Linked DNA regions of Neodiprion lecontei. The protein of the gene in region 1 purifies or fractionates together with the protein of each later gene. This does not show direct contact. Links are inferred from orthologs where the notes say so. Each region holds a gene or a part of one and is shown in the gene's direction. Other genes may lie near its edges. The genes, in order: ribosome biogenesis protein BMS1 homolog and RNA 3'-terminal phosphate cyclase-like protein.

Region 1 (6,400 bases):
TGCTTGTGCGCAGAATAACTGGTCGTCTAATCCATCCATCCAGTGGGCGATCTTATCATGAAGAATTTTCGCCACCAAAGGCTCCGATGAAGGATGATGTAAGGATAATTCGCATTTTAGCTTAATACAAGACGGATTATTCCAATAATCCATTAAATGGAGGAATTGCAATAGAAAATGACCAGAATTTGAAAACGCTTGCTTGCTATTGGTAAAATGATGAAATGAAATTTTGTTTTATTGTTCCACTTAAGAGAAATGCGAAAACTTGGGATTATGGTAAATTGATCAATATCTGAACTGGTAACTGCTCTTTTCATTGATTACCCTATTGATGTTGTCAACAGATTACTGGAGAAGCTTTGATTAGAAGATCGGATGACAATGCAGACACTTTAAAGAAGAGATTGGCCACTTATCACACCCAGACTGCACCATTGGTCGATTATTACGCATTACGTGGTATTCATTACCATGTAAATGCAGCCAAGTCCAGCGCAGACGTATTCAAAGATATAGATTCGATTTTCCGTCAAGCGACGGCGGTTGAAAAAGCGAAAAAAAGCAAAGGATTCTTCAGTAACTTCTTCTAGGCATCCCGTTCGCTGTTGTTACGTTATGCATAAATGCAAGCAATATATCATCGAATCATGTGATGCTCGAACACTATCGTCAATTGCGTCACTAATTATTGTTAAGAACATTATCGTTATCAATCAATTTCAGATATGAAAGTTCGATTTGGCTTTGGTAGGAATAAGTTGTAATTATCGGACACCGATTCAGTGACGAAATTACTTATACAACCTGTTCGCCATAACTTAAGTAAATGTAATATACATATCGTGTGAAACATACAGAACGAAGTTTGTGGCAAACGTTTCATAAATGAGGTTGCTTTCCTTTATTGGTTGACGCTTTTAATCAAAACTGTCGTTCGTTCATTTGTATTTTGAAGATATATTCGTGGCACGATACTTCGCCCAACAATAACCATGCCCGAGCATCAGATTTCCGAAAAATTACAAAAATATTTAACGCTTTCTCAACTGCAGTCGAAAGGTTGTAACCCAAATTATAATAATTGTAGAATCTGTTTAGTATAATTTTATACATGTAAAGGTAACTACGTGACGTTTGAAAACGAAAAATATAGATATTCTTTTCTGAAAATGTCTCAGAGAACGTTTAAAGGCACTCATGATATCTAATCATTACTGGAACAAATTACGCACATAATCACCGTTACTAAACGTATCGGTCGTATCGTTAATCACAAACAATAATCACGGAATTTGTTGAATTTGCATAAATTGTACTGTTTGTTTATGTATATCCTAAATTTTATCAATTGTATTTGATCAATGTATTACAAATAAATTCTTTGCCTTAAATATACGTTGCGACGGAACGAATTTCTCCCCAGTAAGAGCACTGAGCAGTGCTCGCAGCAGAGTGTATATCGGATCATACCCATAGTAAGACGAGTAATCCTCTCTACGGCAACCAATCACGAGCGTGCGAGGCAGAGAAAAGTACTCGTCTTACTATTCCCCACTCTGAGCCGTTTTCCACTTACACGAAAGGGTATACCATGCTTTCTCCATAGTATATGCTCTAAGGTGTAAACAAACAACTCTTAGCCGTTCAGATCCGTGTAGCTAAAGTAGGGTCTGTAGTTTTGCCACATGGCAGCACTGATTATTTGCGCTCATCAACGTGCCCAACATGTGCTTCACACACATTATATCACTGAACAGCACTGAACGGCATCGTGTGGCACCGCGTTGAGTTGTGAGGTTACGTGTAAAGTATTTTAAACTTTGAAAAATAATGTTGAATAACACGTTCAATCATCAACAGTTGGTAAATTGCCACAAATAATTCTACAACCTTCACAAACTGTCAAGAAATTAACGTAAAATATATTATGTTTAGTACGTTTTATGGTTAAAATAAATTTTATGGTTATGTTATGCCTCAAATCTTATGAAATGATAAATAAGATTCCGGTTAATTGTTAATGACTAAACCGTAAGTAAAGATGTCTGGAATTGACGAAGGAGGGGTTAAGCATAAGTCGCATCGTGATCGCAACGCGGGGCGAAAGGCAGAGAAGAAGAAAAACAAAAATGAACATGTCCAAGAGTTGACAGACAAGCAAAAGAACCCAAAAGCTTTCACATTCAATTCGGCCATAAGAGCTGAGCGTGGTTTCAGACGTAAACAAGACCTTGAAACAAAAAAACAGCATATACCGTTGGTGGATAGAACGCCTCTGGAACCACCGCCAGTCTTAGTGGCTCTAGTTGGTCCTCCAAAAGTGGGCAAATCAATGCTAATGCAATGTCTAATAAAGAGCTTTGCTAGGCAGCCACTGTCGAATATTCTTGGGCCAGTAACTGTTGTTTCTGGTAAAAAACGTCGCATAACATTCATTGAATGCAACAACGACATCAATAGCATGATTGACATAGCAAAAGTAGCTGATTTGGTTTTGCTCCTGGTGGATGCGTCGTTTGGTTTTGAAATGGAGATATTTGAGTTTCTAAACATATGCCAGGTGCATGGTATGCCGAGAATAATGGGTGTGCTGACGCATCTGGACCTCATAAAGAATACCAAGCAGTTGAGAAAGATCAAAAAAACACTGAAGCACAGATTTTGGACTGAAGTTTACGCTGGAGCCAAGCTATTCTATTTATCTGGACTTCTGCATGACGAGTATCTCCGCAATGAAGTGAAGAATCTAGCTCGTTTCATATCAGTGATCAAGTTCAGGCCTTTGACTTGGCGGACCACGCATCCGTACCTTCTGGCAGACAGGATAGAGGATCTCACTCCTCCAGAATCCATCAGACAAAATACAAAAGTTGACAGAACCATCAGTCTCTATGGATACGTGCGCGGTGTTCCCCTGAACAAGGAAACTTCTGTACATATTCCTGGCTGCGGAGACCTCAAAATCAAGGATGTCAGTTTCTTGCCTGATCCTTGTCCGCTGCCTGATCAAATAAAGAAACGCTCTCTCGTTGAAAAGGAGAGACTAATCTATGCTCCATTTTCGGGAGTTGGCGGTATCGTCTACGATAAGGATGCCGTCTATGTGGAATTGGGAGGGAGCCACTCTCATCAAGAGAAGGAGGGAGAGGATCCAAGTCTGGTTGGTAATCTGATGGAAACGCAGGAAACCATTGACACCAAGTTGCGTCGTAGCGAAATGCAAATTTTCAGCGGCACGGCATTGATTAGATCAGAAGATGTCGAAGAAGAGTTCAATACTGATTTGAAGAGTAAATCAGTTATCGAAGAACAAAGGATCAGGCGCAAAGTAGTATTCGACGACGAGATGAACGAGCTACCTAACGACGAAGAAGACAGCGACGATGAGGTGGATTTCGGTAAGCAAAATTATGATTCGGATGGAGATGAACTGGAAAGTAATGAGAGGAGTAAAAGAATCTGTTCAGAGGCAGATGACGGGATTATTTGTAAAAGAAAAAAAATTGAAGACGAAGATGGAAATGTATCAGTGAAATTCATTAAGAACAAAGATCAGGCTATAACTGATTGTGAGCAAATATATCGCGGACTTAGCAGTAATCCCGATAGTCATATAAAGGATAAAATCTCTCAGGCATTGAGTATGCTGGACAGTAATAAAAAAAATCGGGACGACAGATCAGAGGCTGATCTCAGCGAAAATGAAAGTTTTGACGAGGAGAGTGATGATAATGATTCTGAGCTAAATTCGAACGATGATGTTCATGTGGAGGATGAGTTACAATGGAAGTCAAATCTGACGGAAAAGGCAAGCGAAGCATTTACAGACCGGCTGAGATCCCAAAAAAATTTAATGAAAATTGTGTACGGCGAATTTGACAAATCTTTCGTAGCTGTCGATGATGAATCGCTTTCGGATGAAGATTCAAAAAATGAAGATATTGGCGGTATTTTTCGCATTGTAAATAAGCAGGAGAGGCAGAAACTGGAGGCACGAGAACTGCGGAATCAAGAGGAGAGCGTGTTTTACTCCATAGATTTGTCAAAGGATTGGGAATTGGAAGAAAACCGCAATCTGCTAACGAATCGTTTTGTGACTGGTAAATGGAAGGAATCCGAGGATGCCGAGGAGCTGTTGAAGCTCGACGACCTGGAAGATGACGACGATTTGTACGGAGATTTCGAGGATCTAGAAACCGGGGAAAAGCACAAGGCTGAGGCTCCTGAAGAGATGACATTCAGCGAGGCGGATGAGCGGCGAAAGCTGATTGAGAAGAAGCAGAAGCTTAAGGAGAAGTTCGACTCGGAGTATGACAAGGGTGAAGACAAGTCCTACTACGACGAGTTAAAGTCGGAAGTCGAGAGGCAGGCGCAGTTGAACAAGTCTGAGTTTGAGGGCATTGCGGACGAAATCAGGGTCCAGCTCGAGGGTTTCAGGCCTGGAATGTACGTCCGTGTTGAGTTGGACTCGGTGCCCTGTGAGCTGGTGACGAATTTGGACCCGACCTACCCGCTGATTGTCGGTGGACTGTTGCATGGCGAGGAGAACATTGGGTTTGTGCAGACTCGGATAAAAAAGCACCGGTGGTACAAGAAGATCCTGAAGACCAAAGACCCGCTGATTATCTCTGTCGGATGGCGGCGGTTCCAGGCTTTGCCCATCTATGCGAAGCTCGAAGACAATCTGAAGCATAGGATGCTGAAGTACACGCCCGAGCATGTGACTTGCATGGCTCATTTTTGGGGCCCTATAACTCCTCAGGGCACCGGAGTTCTGGCGGTGCAAGACGTAGCCGCCAGGCAAGCAGGATTTCGCATCGCGGCAACCGGCTCGATAGTCGAGCTTGACAAATCCACATATATCGTCAAAAAGCTCAAGTTGACTGGTGCCCCGTTCAAGGTTTACAAGAAGACAGCATTCATCAAGGGGATGTTCAATTCCAGCTTGGAAGTGGCCAAATTTGAAGGCGCCAAATTGCGGACTGTGTCCGGCATTCGTGGACAGATAAAGAAGGCATGTTCCAAACCACAGGGTGCCTTTCGTGCAACCTTTGAAGACAAGGTGTTGCTCAGTGACATTGTGTTTTGTCGAACCTGGTACAAGGTAGATGTACCGAAGTTTTACAGTCCCGTTACATCGCTGCTGCTGCCGCCGAGTGAGAAGAATCAATGGCGAGGAATGAGGACGACTGGTCAACTCAAGAGGGAGAATAATTTAAGGGCTCAACCTAATTCGGATTCACTTTATATACAGATCAAAAGAGATCCGAAAGTTTTCAAACCACTGATCATACCGCGAACTCTGCAGAAGGGTTTGCCATACAAAGACAAACCAAAATTACAACCTGTTATCAAAAACCATAGACCGAAACTCGAAGATCGACGACCAGCTGTCGTTAGAGAGCCCAAGGAGGAACAGGTAGCCAAACTAATGAAAATGCTTAGAACTTCGTACAGCCATAAACAGGATCAACTGAAAGAAGCAATGAGCAGAAGGATTATGGCCCATCAAGCCCGAATGCAGATTGAAGAAGCAAGGAAAATGGGCAGGCAAAAAGAGTTGAAGAAAGAAGTGTTCAGAAAACTTAGTAAAATGGAGGCTAAAAATAAAAATAAAAGAAACTAAGACTACTGTTTCATTATATCTGTAATATTATTTCTTCTATCAACAACCATGTATATTTTCGATCGTTATTTTGAATTGCCTTTTTCTATCCTTAGTCAAAATTAATTGTTTTAATCTTGTTCACCTACTAGTGTGAACTTATTGACTTTTGTGTTCAACATCTGTTATCTAGGTGAATTCACTGTACAGATCAATATGTTGTGATTTTCCGTCAATCGAAATATTGAAAACACTTATTCCAAATTCCACTCAATATATCTTTAAGTTATTTTTTTCGTCGATAATGAATTTGTATTTCAATAAATCTGTGTGGACTGTGTCCAAGTGCAATTCAGATTGACCTATTTTGATCCATTTTTTTTCCCCAATAGTGTGTGTTTATAATGATATCTATGGTAATTAAAACTGGCCCGATCCATTTCCTCTTTCATTTCAAAAGCCTAGAGAAGACGTTAGATTTTACGGATTCTTCAGATGACTACGGTTTTCACATGAATAATCTGGTAAATTCACCATGCGTACCATTCACAAACCGTAAGAACGGCCGTTCATTTGACTGTGAAATGTGATTCTCTTTGTTGAATGTAATAGGATTCAGTGAAGATCAACATCACAAGTATAAATTGTATGACGATGATGTAGCGAATAAATATAGCGTTTTCTAAAATCACTTGGAATTTCGGAAAATTTAAAAAAAAAAACCGAAATGATTTTTGTTTCAGAATTGATATGTAAGACCGTTATTCGATCAATTAAATATTCTGGAACTCG
Region 2 (6,400 bases), on another chromosome or scaffold:
AAGGTAATACAAACAGTTCAAAAATATGCATACAATACCAGGAAACATCATAGACGTTACATTTATATGTTTAACGATATTAAAAATTGCTCTAATGGTAATTAATAAACAACAGCCGGTTAATGCTATTCATAATTTTAGACTCTGATTGATATTTTAAACTGACGAATGTATATCATTTAAAAACTTTAGAAGCCCTCATTTCTACGTAACTTTTTACCATAATGAAATTACAAATGCTCAAGCACCTCACCAAATTTTAGAAAAAAATTAGCAATATTAAATCCGTCACAATGTAATTGTTGCTATGTACAAACATGAAATATTCAAGCATTCAAAGATAAATATAAGAGAAAGACTTGCTGAGAACTTCAATAATCAAACAATGCAGCTTTGAAAATCCTACAATAAAAATATAACATTATTTTTATAGCTAGAATTACAAACAAATACCATCTCTTTTGCGCAAAAGGAAGTATGGTGAAAATTATTCCACTTTTTTGTCTCCGCTAGATTGCAACTTGGCGTGTTCTTCGCTCAGTCGATCATATTCCTGCACAAGAGATTTTGCTTGCGATGTGACTGCTTCTTTGTCTTTCTTTTCCTTTTGCAATTCCGCTTCGAGCTCAGAAATTTGTTTATTTAAGCCTTTGATTTGATTTTTAAGCTCAGAAACTGCTTTGTCGTGAGCCTCGTTGGAATCATTCTGGGCACTTTCTCCTGATGATTTCTGTGCCAGTAGAGATTTTGCTGTGGTGGTGGCAGATACTGCTTGCCGCATAGCTGCCTCACTTTGTGCCAGTAGCGTTGCTTGGGCCGAAATCAGTGTAACCAAGCGACGGATCACAAGGCTCAGAAAGAGCGAAAATCCAGAAATATAAAAATTCCGTTGAGCCCGAAACAGCCGCATATTACCTATAATTTATGCAATTGTATTTCGTTATCAAAGAATGTTATTTCTACGAAAACACATTAACCCACATACAGTAGTAGTCCCATTTTTTGAATTTTGAATCACAGATGCACTTCATTTTTCAACAAATAATAGTATACAAATTTCGTACCTTGCATTTCTGTATTTAAGTGAACATGTTCCCCAGTCTCTATGTTAGAATACTTGCGCATTTCTCGAATCGCATCTAGCAAAAATAATACCAAAATGGCCAGCAGGACTAAAAAGTATATCGACGCTTGACTGCTCAAGCTCTGAAGGAATCTGGACTTGAAAAGCCGTTGCCAACTCTTCGGGGATGCTATTGGCAAAACGAGGAGCAGAACAACAGCTATTTCCACATATAAAAAAGAAGCGATAATCGTCCATTGCAAGCTCATCTTTATTACCGTTTTTTCTTGCTTTCTTATCTTTCAGACGAATATATCTGAAAATAATAATGAACAATTTCAATTACACACTTGGTTAATATCAGGTACTGAAAAGTTTTTAAATGTCTGTCGTTTCTAGCCCGGGTGAATTTTGAATTAAATTAAATCGTCACATCCAAGATATTATTGTACTATGATAGACTGACCAACGGATGAATTACAAATGAAAAATGGGAAACTCTTGAGCCCATTTTATTTAAGCATTCAGTAATTTTTTTCTGACTTGCTAGTGTCGATTACTGTCAGCATAAGACCAAAAAGACCCAAGATTACCCAAATTACAGATATCTATTACAAAATACTGTATCTGAGGATGCGAGTCGATTTTACACTATTGAATATATCCAAAAACTTGAACTGTCTGAATTATTCTTTGGCTCAAGAAAAGTGAGTAAAGTAATGAGAATTGTCACAAAAAAAAAAAAAATCAGTAATGACATGAGATCAAATGCAATACCTGTATACTAAGATTTAAAAGTGAATCACAACCGACTTTACGAACTTTGATCAGATAGCTTCAGCCTATGACGCAATACTATTTATGAATTTGACAAATATTCTGTGTCGATGCAAGGCTAAAAATGTATGTAACGAGGAGATGGCGGGGAGCAAGGATTTGACTGTTGAATCGTAATGAAACTCGTACATGTAGGCGAGTCTTGTACTCATATCTCACAGGAATATTGTCTTGTCGAATGCGATGATAAGGTATAAAAAAAATTTCACGTTAGCGCAGAAGATTACATATGAAATGGCTGAATCGTCTATTTTCACTTGGTTAGCGAAATTTTTAGATTAATGGCTCAACTACTTACGTGGTTTTTAGAAAGTCGCACGCCGGTTCAAGCAATACCTAAATCTCTAACCACTCATTCGCCCAACGTAACGTCCAGCTAAGTACAAAGTGCGGTACGGATATTCCTGAGTTTATAAATAAATTACAGGGTGACGTTGTACCCCGTAAATGTTGCTATGTTTTCTACGTTTCTTCTATTTCGTTTTCCACGAACACAGGGTCTTCTTTGATTGGCCAGGCCGTTGGCGAAAGTTTGCGTTCCTAAATATTGGAAAGACGTCAAAGATTGTTGTTTTGACTCAATTTGAGGAACGCAGGTCAACGAGGTCTTCTCTCACTGACAATAAGTAGGTATCAGTCAAGTATCAGTCAGTGGTTCTCTGGACGAGAAAAAAAGAAGATAAAATAAATAAGAGAAAAAAAGTATAGGGAATCGCAATAAACACCACGTGCTTTACGGTGATTATTGTTTGAAACTTGATCACAGTAATATAATTGAGTAAGAATGCCAGGAAAACTTATAAACAACGTACTCACGTACGAAGGATGCAATTACTTTAGGTATCGTTTACTACTGGCAACATTGTCCGGGAAACCCGTAAGAATCACGGGGATACGAATCAACGATGACAATCCCGGCCTTAGAGGTTAGAACTTCGAACTGGACGGATCCGATTGTTGACCAATTCAGTTCCTTAGTTTTAATCATGGAGTTCGACATTTATGTTTTTGGTTTTTATTACAGAATATGAAATCAACTTCGTTCGACTCATGGACAAAATCACAAATGGGACCAGAATAGAGTTGAATGAGACTGGCACTATTATTTCTTATATTCCTGGTTTACTGGTCGGAGGAGATCTGGAACACGAATGTAGTCTTGAACGAGGTATCAGTTACTATTTAGAAGCTGTCATGATGTTAGCCCCTTTTTGTAAGAAAATGATCAGACTCAAAATCAAAGGAATAACCAACAATACTCTTGGTAAGAATTTTTGAAAATTTGTTCATTTCTGTAATGTGCATATTAAAAATCAAACGTTCTATCAAAGTAATTGGTTTCCGATTACTTCAGACCCCTCTATCGATAGACTGAAAGCCAGCGGAATTCCTGTCATTAAGCAATTCATTGTGGGGGATGATGACGTGGAATTGAATATTTCTAAGAGAGGCGTTGCTCCATTAGGCGGTGGCGAAGTATGGTTTAAATGTCCGGTGAATCGTCACCTCAAGTCGATACAGGTTGGTTAACAATTTTTTTAAACAACTGTCATAAATTTGAAATCATCCAGCGGTACACGGAGCCTAACCTTAAACTTATTGCCATAGTGCCAGAATTGTGGAATGGTCAAACGAGTGCGAGGTGTAGCGTGTTCGATACGTGTATCCCCGGCAATAGCCAATCGCATGGTGGAATCTGCTAAAGGATGTCTGTTAAAATTTCTTCCAGACATTTATATTCACACAGATCAGAGTCGAGGTTCATCAAGCGGTAAATCTCCAGGTAAAATTATTATTACGAAAAATAATTTTTCTAGTTAACAGATCGATGTTAACAACTTTCTTTGTCAGTAAGTTAATTCACAATGAAAGTATGTAGTTTGAACATATTCTATCAGTTGAGGTTGAAATTCGTGTTATATCCAGATAAATATTTTTTACCCCTAGGTTTTGGAATTACTTTAGTGGCTGAAACGACAACAGGAGTATCTTTGAGTGGTGAAGCATTTTCATCCTTGACAGAGACCGGATCTCTACCATGCGTTCCTGAAGATCTTGGTAAAAAGGCAGCCTTATATCTTTTGGATGAAATATACAGGTAAGTTTAAATGTGTTATTATTTAATCAACACCTTTATAGAAACAATTACTTTACAGAAGTGGATGTGTAGATTCTGCCTTTCAAAGCATGGCAACACTGTTTATGGCACTTGGTAAGAAAGACATTTCAAAGATGACCGTAGGCCCATTGACGCAAGCCGCGTAAGTGAACGTCATTTTGTACAAAAAAACACTTTATTGTTATTATCAAAGGCTTGATTATCATTAGACTATATCTTATTGATTTTCAGAATACAATTTCTACGGGATTTGAGAGACTTTTTCGGTGTTGTTTTTAAGATAGACATGTTGAGCAGTGATGAAACTATCGTCGAGGAACGAAGTCTGGTATTATTAACTTGCGTTGGAATAGGATATTCGAATATCAATCGCCGTGTCATGTAGCTCTTAAGTGTGAGTAATTTTTATTTACTAAAATAAAGCCCAAACATTTAAACAGAGGTCTTGATACTTTTACACCCGAATCTGTCAGACTGATTTACTACAATCTAAAACCTGTAAAATTGTCAAAATGCTACACCAGATTATACTAATACAAAGTCTTGAAGGTACAATGGCTTCGCAGGCCATGCCCGAAAACTTTGTAACTTTAACAATTGCCAAGATTGTTGATAAGTTGCAGAGCTTTGCTTTGCATGATAGTATGTGATTTTCTTCGGGTGATTTTCTTCACTGGCTGTTGTTCTATTGAATTTGTCAACAGTTACGAGGAATGTTCTGAAAAGTTCTTGCTTGCTGATTAATAAGTAATTTCCTCTTTTTTTCTTCTTCGTTGCGCCTTGCTTTCGACCATCCACAGATATCTCCAATTGTCTGTTTATATTGAAAAATGATTACTTTCACATGAATCATCTATGTACCATTTTAACGAGATTGAAGTTCATGTTAATATAATTACGCATTACCAGAATAAATGGCTATTTCACAACTCTAGTATTATTCGAAATGCAATGAAAGGTGAATTATACTCATTCTTCGGTTAAAATCTCTTCAAAATAACGATACAGTTGTGAAATAGTGATTTTTAAGAAACCTTTACTCATCTACTACAGGTGTATTTCGAGTAGTTGTCTTAGAATCAGACCACTATAAAACTCAATGTTCAGATAAGGCAAGGGTATTCACCTTTCGGGTACTGCACACCATATTATGCTAGAGGGGCAAGGCCGAGCCCTGTTATCTCCTTTTCTGTGGACGAAACTTTGTTCCGATTGCATGAAAACTGGACATCTTCTAGTGGCAAACCTTTCACATATACCACGTTGCATAGCTTCTAGAGAAAATGGAGATTGCCCTCCAATACAAAAACTGTCGATTATTACAGGTGGGATTAGTCTGGATAAAAGAGCCCCTTGTATACCAATAATATTCCATCTATAACAAATATTATACAATTACAATACGTATAATGAAAATAAAAGAGATGCAGCTACGGTTTTTTTAATGGTATAATACCAGGTTTGAATTCAATTTATTGGTCCCAATGTTCTTACTTAGCAATTTTGTCGGAACAGGATAAACTCAGCGTTCGATCACCCCGTCCTGGTTTTGTTCTTATGGGTCCAAGAAGGTGATAATTAATACCCGGCAGGCGAGAATCTTGTTTGTCGATTTCGACACATTTTGCACCTGTTCGATGCACGTCGTACTCGTCACACTGATAATCTTCCTGAAGAACGGCTCTTTTTACTTCCATATCGTCGTTTGCATGAAGCTTTCTTTTTCGTGCAGAAGCGTTGACGCCGAACACACAATTCTCAACTATCTTAGGAAATATCGAACAATCCCCACAAGGAGTTTGACTACAATAATAGTGAAGTGAAATATTATTCCGTAGACAGATTGTTTTATTTGCATCCAATTCGAAAATATCGCTATTATTGTCATTCAACCTCAAATTTAATTGATGGTATAAGTAGCGTAGAAACGCTCGCCGGGCTAGGACCTCAGCATGTGAATCGCTCAACCTACTTCCGATTTCCCATTGTTTTGTATCTAATAACTCAGTACCGCTTAAACACTTTGTGCCAGTAGCCAGCGATACAACTGACAAAGATTCTTGTGCATCTTTCAAAACAATTCCAGCTAGAACTGTCCACTCTGTATCTTGTGGTTTTCCTGTTTTTCCAAAACTATTATATTTTTCACAGCAGAGCTGGGCAATTCTATCCGCCAGGTTGTTCATAATTAACAACAACTTACGCTCCAGTTGTCAGTTAGGTTTTAATTAGGTGTATGAATGATATAAAAATACGTAAACATTGCAAGTATTCTGCATTTATACCGAGTACATGTTTGCCACTCAACAGACGTTGGTTGGATCCCATGTATACTTTTTTTGAGGTAAGCTGGATAAGGTTTTCATGTGCTGATCGTTTAT

What was found.
Region 2: the proteins of ribosome biogenesis protein BMS1 homolog (region 1) and RNA 3'-terminal phosphate cyclase-like protein purify together in Homo sapiens (co-immunoprecipitation; 4 studies listed by BioGRID and IntAct, with this or other methods). This does not show direct contact. The link is inferred for Neodiprion lecontei from reciprocal best matches to the Homo sapiens genes BMS1 and RCL1.

What each region holds. Positions count from the first base shown.
Region 1 is NC_060261.1:13,350,632-13,357,031, forward strand, and holds the start of ribosome biogenesis protein BMS1 homolog, read left to right. Parts: upstream 1-1,683; 5' UTR 1,684-2,044; coding exon 2,045-5,629; 3' UTR 5,630-6,400. Other genes in the region: adenylate kinase, read left to right, coding at 1-98, 348-593. UniProt on the Homo sapiens protein: GTPase required for the synthesis of 40S ribosomal subunits and for processing of pre-ribosomal RNA (pre-rRNA) at sites A0, A1, and A2.
Region 2 is NC_060260.1:411,459-417,858, forward strand, and holds the start of RNA 3'-terminal phosphate cyclase-like protein, read left to right. Parts: upstream 1-2,532; 5' UTR 2,533-2,684; coding exon 2,685-2,826; intron 2,827-2,924; coding exon 2,925-3,164; intron 3,165-3,254; coding exon 3,255-3,421; intron 3,422-3,508; coding exon 3,509-3,683; intron 3,684-3,847; coding exon 3,848-3,998; intron 3,999-4,056; coding exon 4,057-4,161; intron 4,162-4,250; coding exon 4,251-4,404; 3' UTR 4,405-4,413; exon of another isoform or gene 4,414-4,544; coding exon of another isoform or gene 4,545-4,833; intron 4,834-5,072; exon of another isoform or gene 5,073-5,145; coding exon of another isoform or gene 5,146-5,394; exon of another isoform or gene 5,395-5,469; intron 5,470-5,513; coding exon of another isoform or gene 5,514-6,205; intron 6,206-6,277; exon of another isoform or gene 6,278-6,322; coding exon of another isoform or gene 6,323-6,400. Other genes in the region: B-cell receptor-associated protein 31, read right to left, coding at 488-915, 1,065-1,332; tRNA-specific adenosine deaminase 1, read right to left, coding at 4,545-4,833, 5,146-5,394, 5,514-6,205; putative malate dehydrogenase 1B, read right to left, coding at 6,323-6,400. UniProt on the Homo sapiens protein: As part of the small subunit (SSU) processome, it plays a role in 40S-ribosomal-subunit biogenesis in the early pre-rRNA processing steps at sites A0, A1 and A2 that are required for proper maturation of the 18S RNA.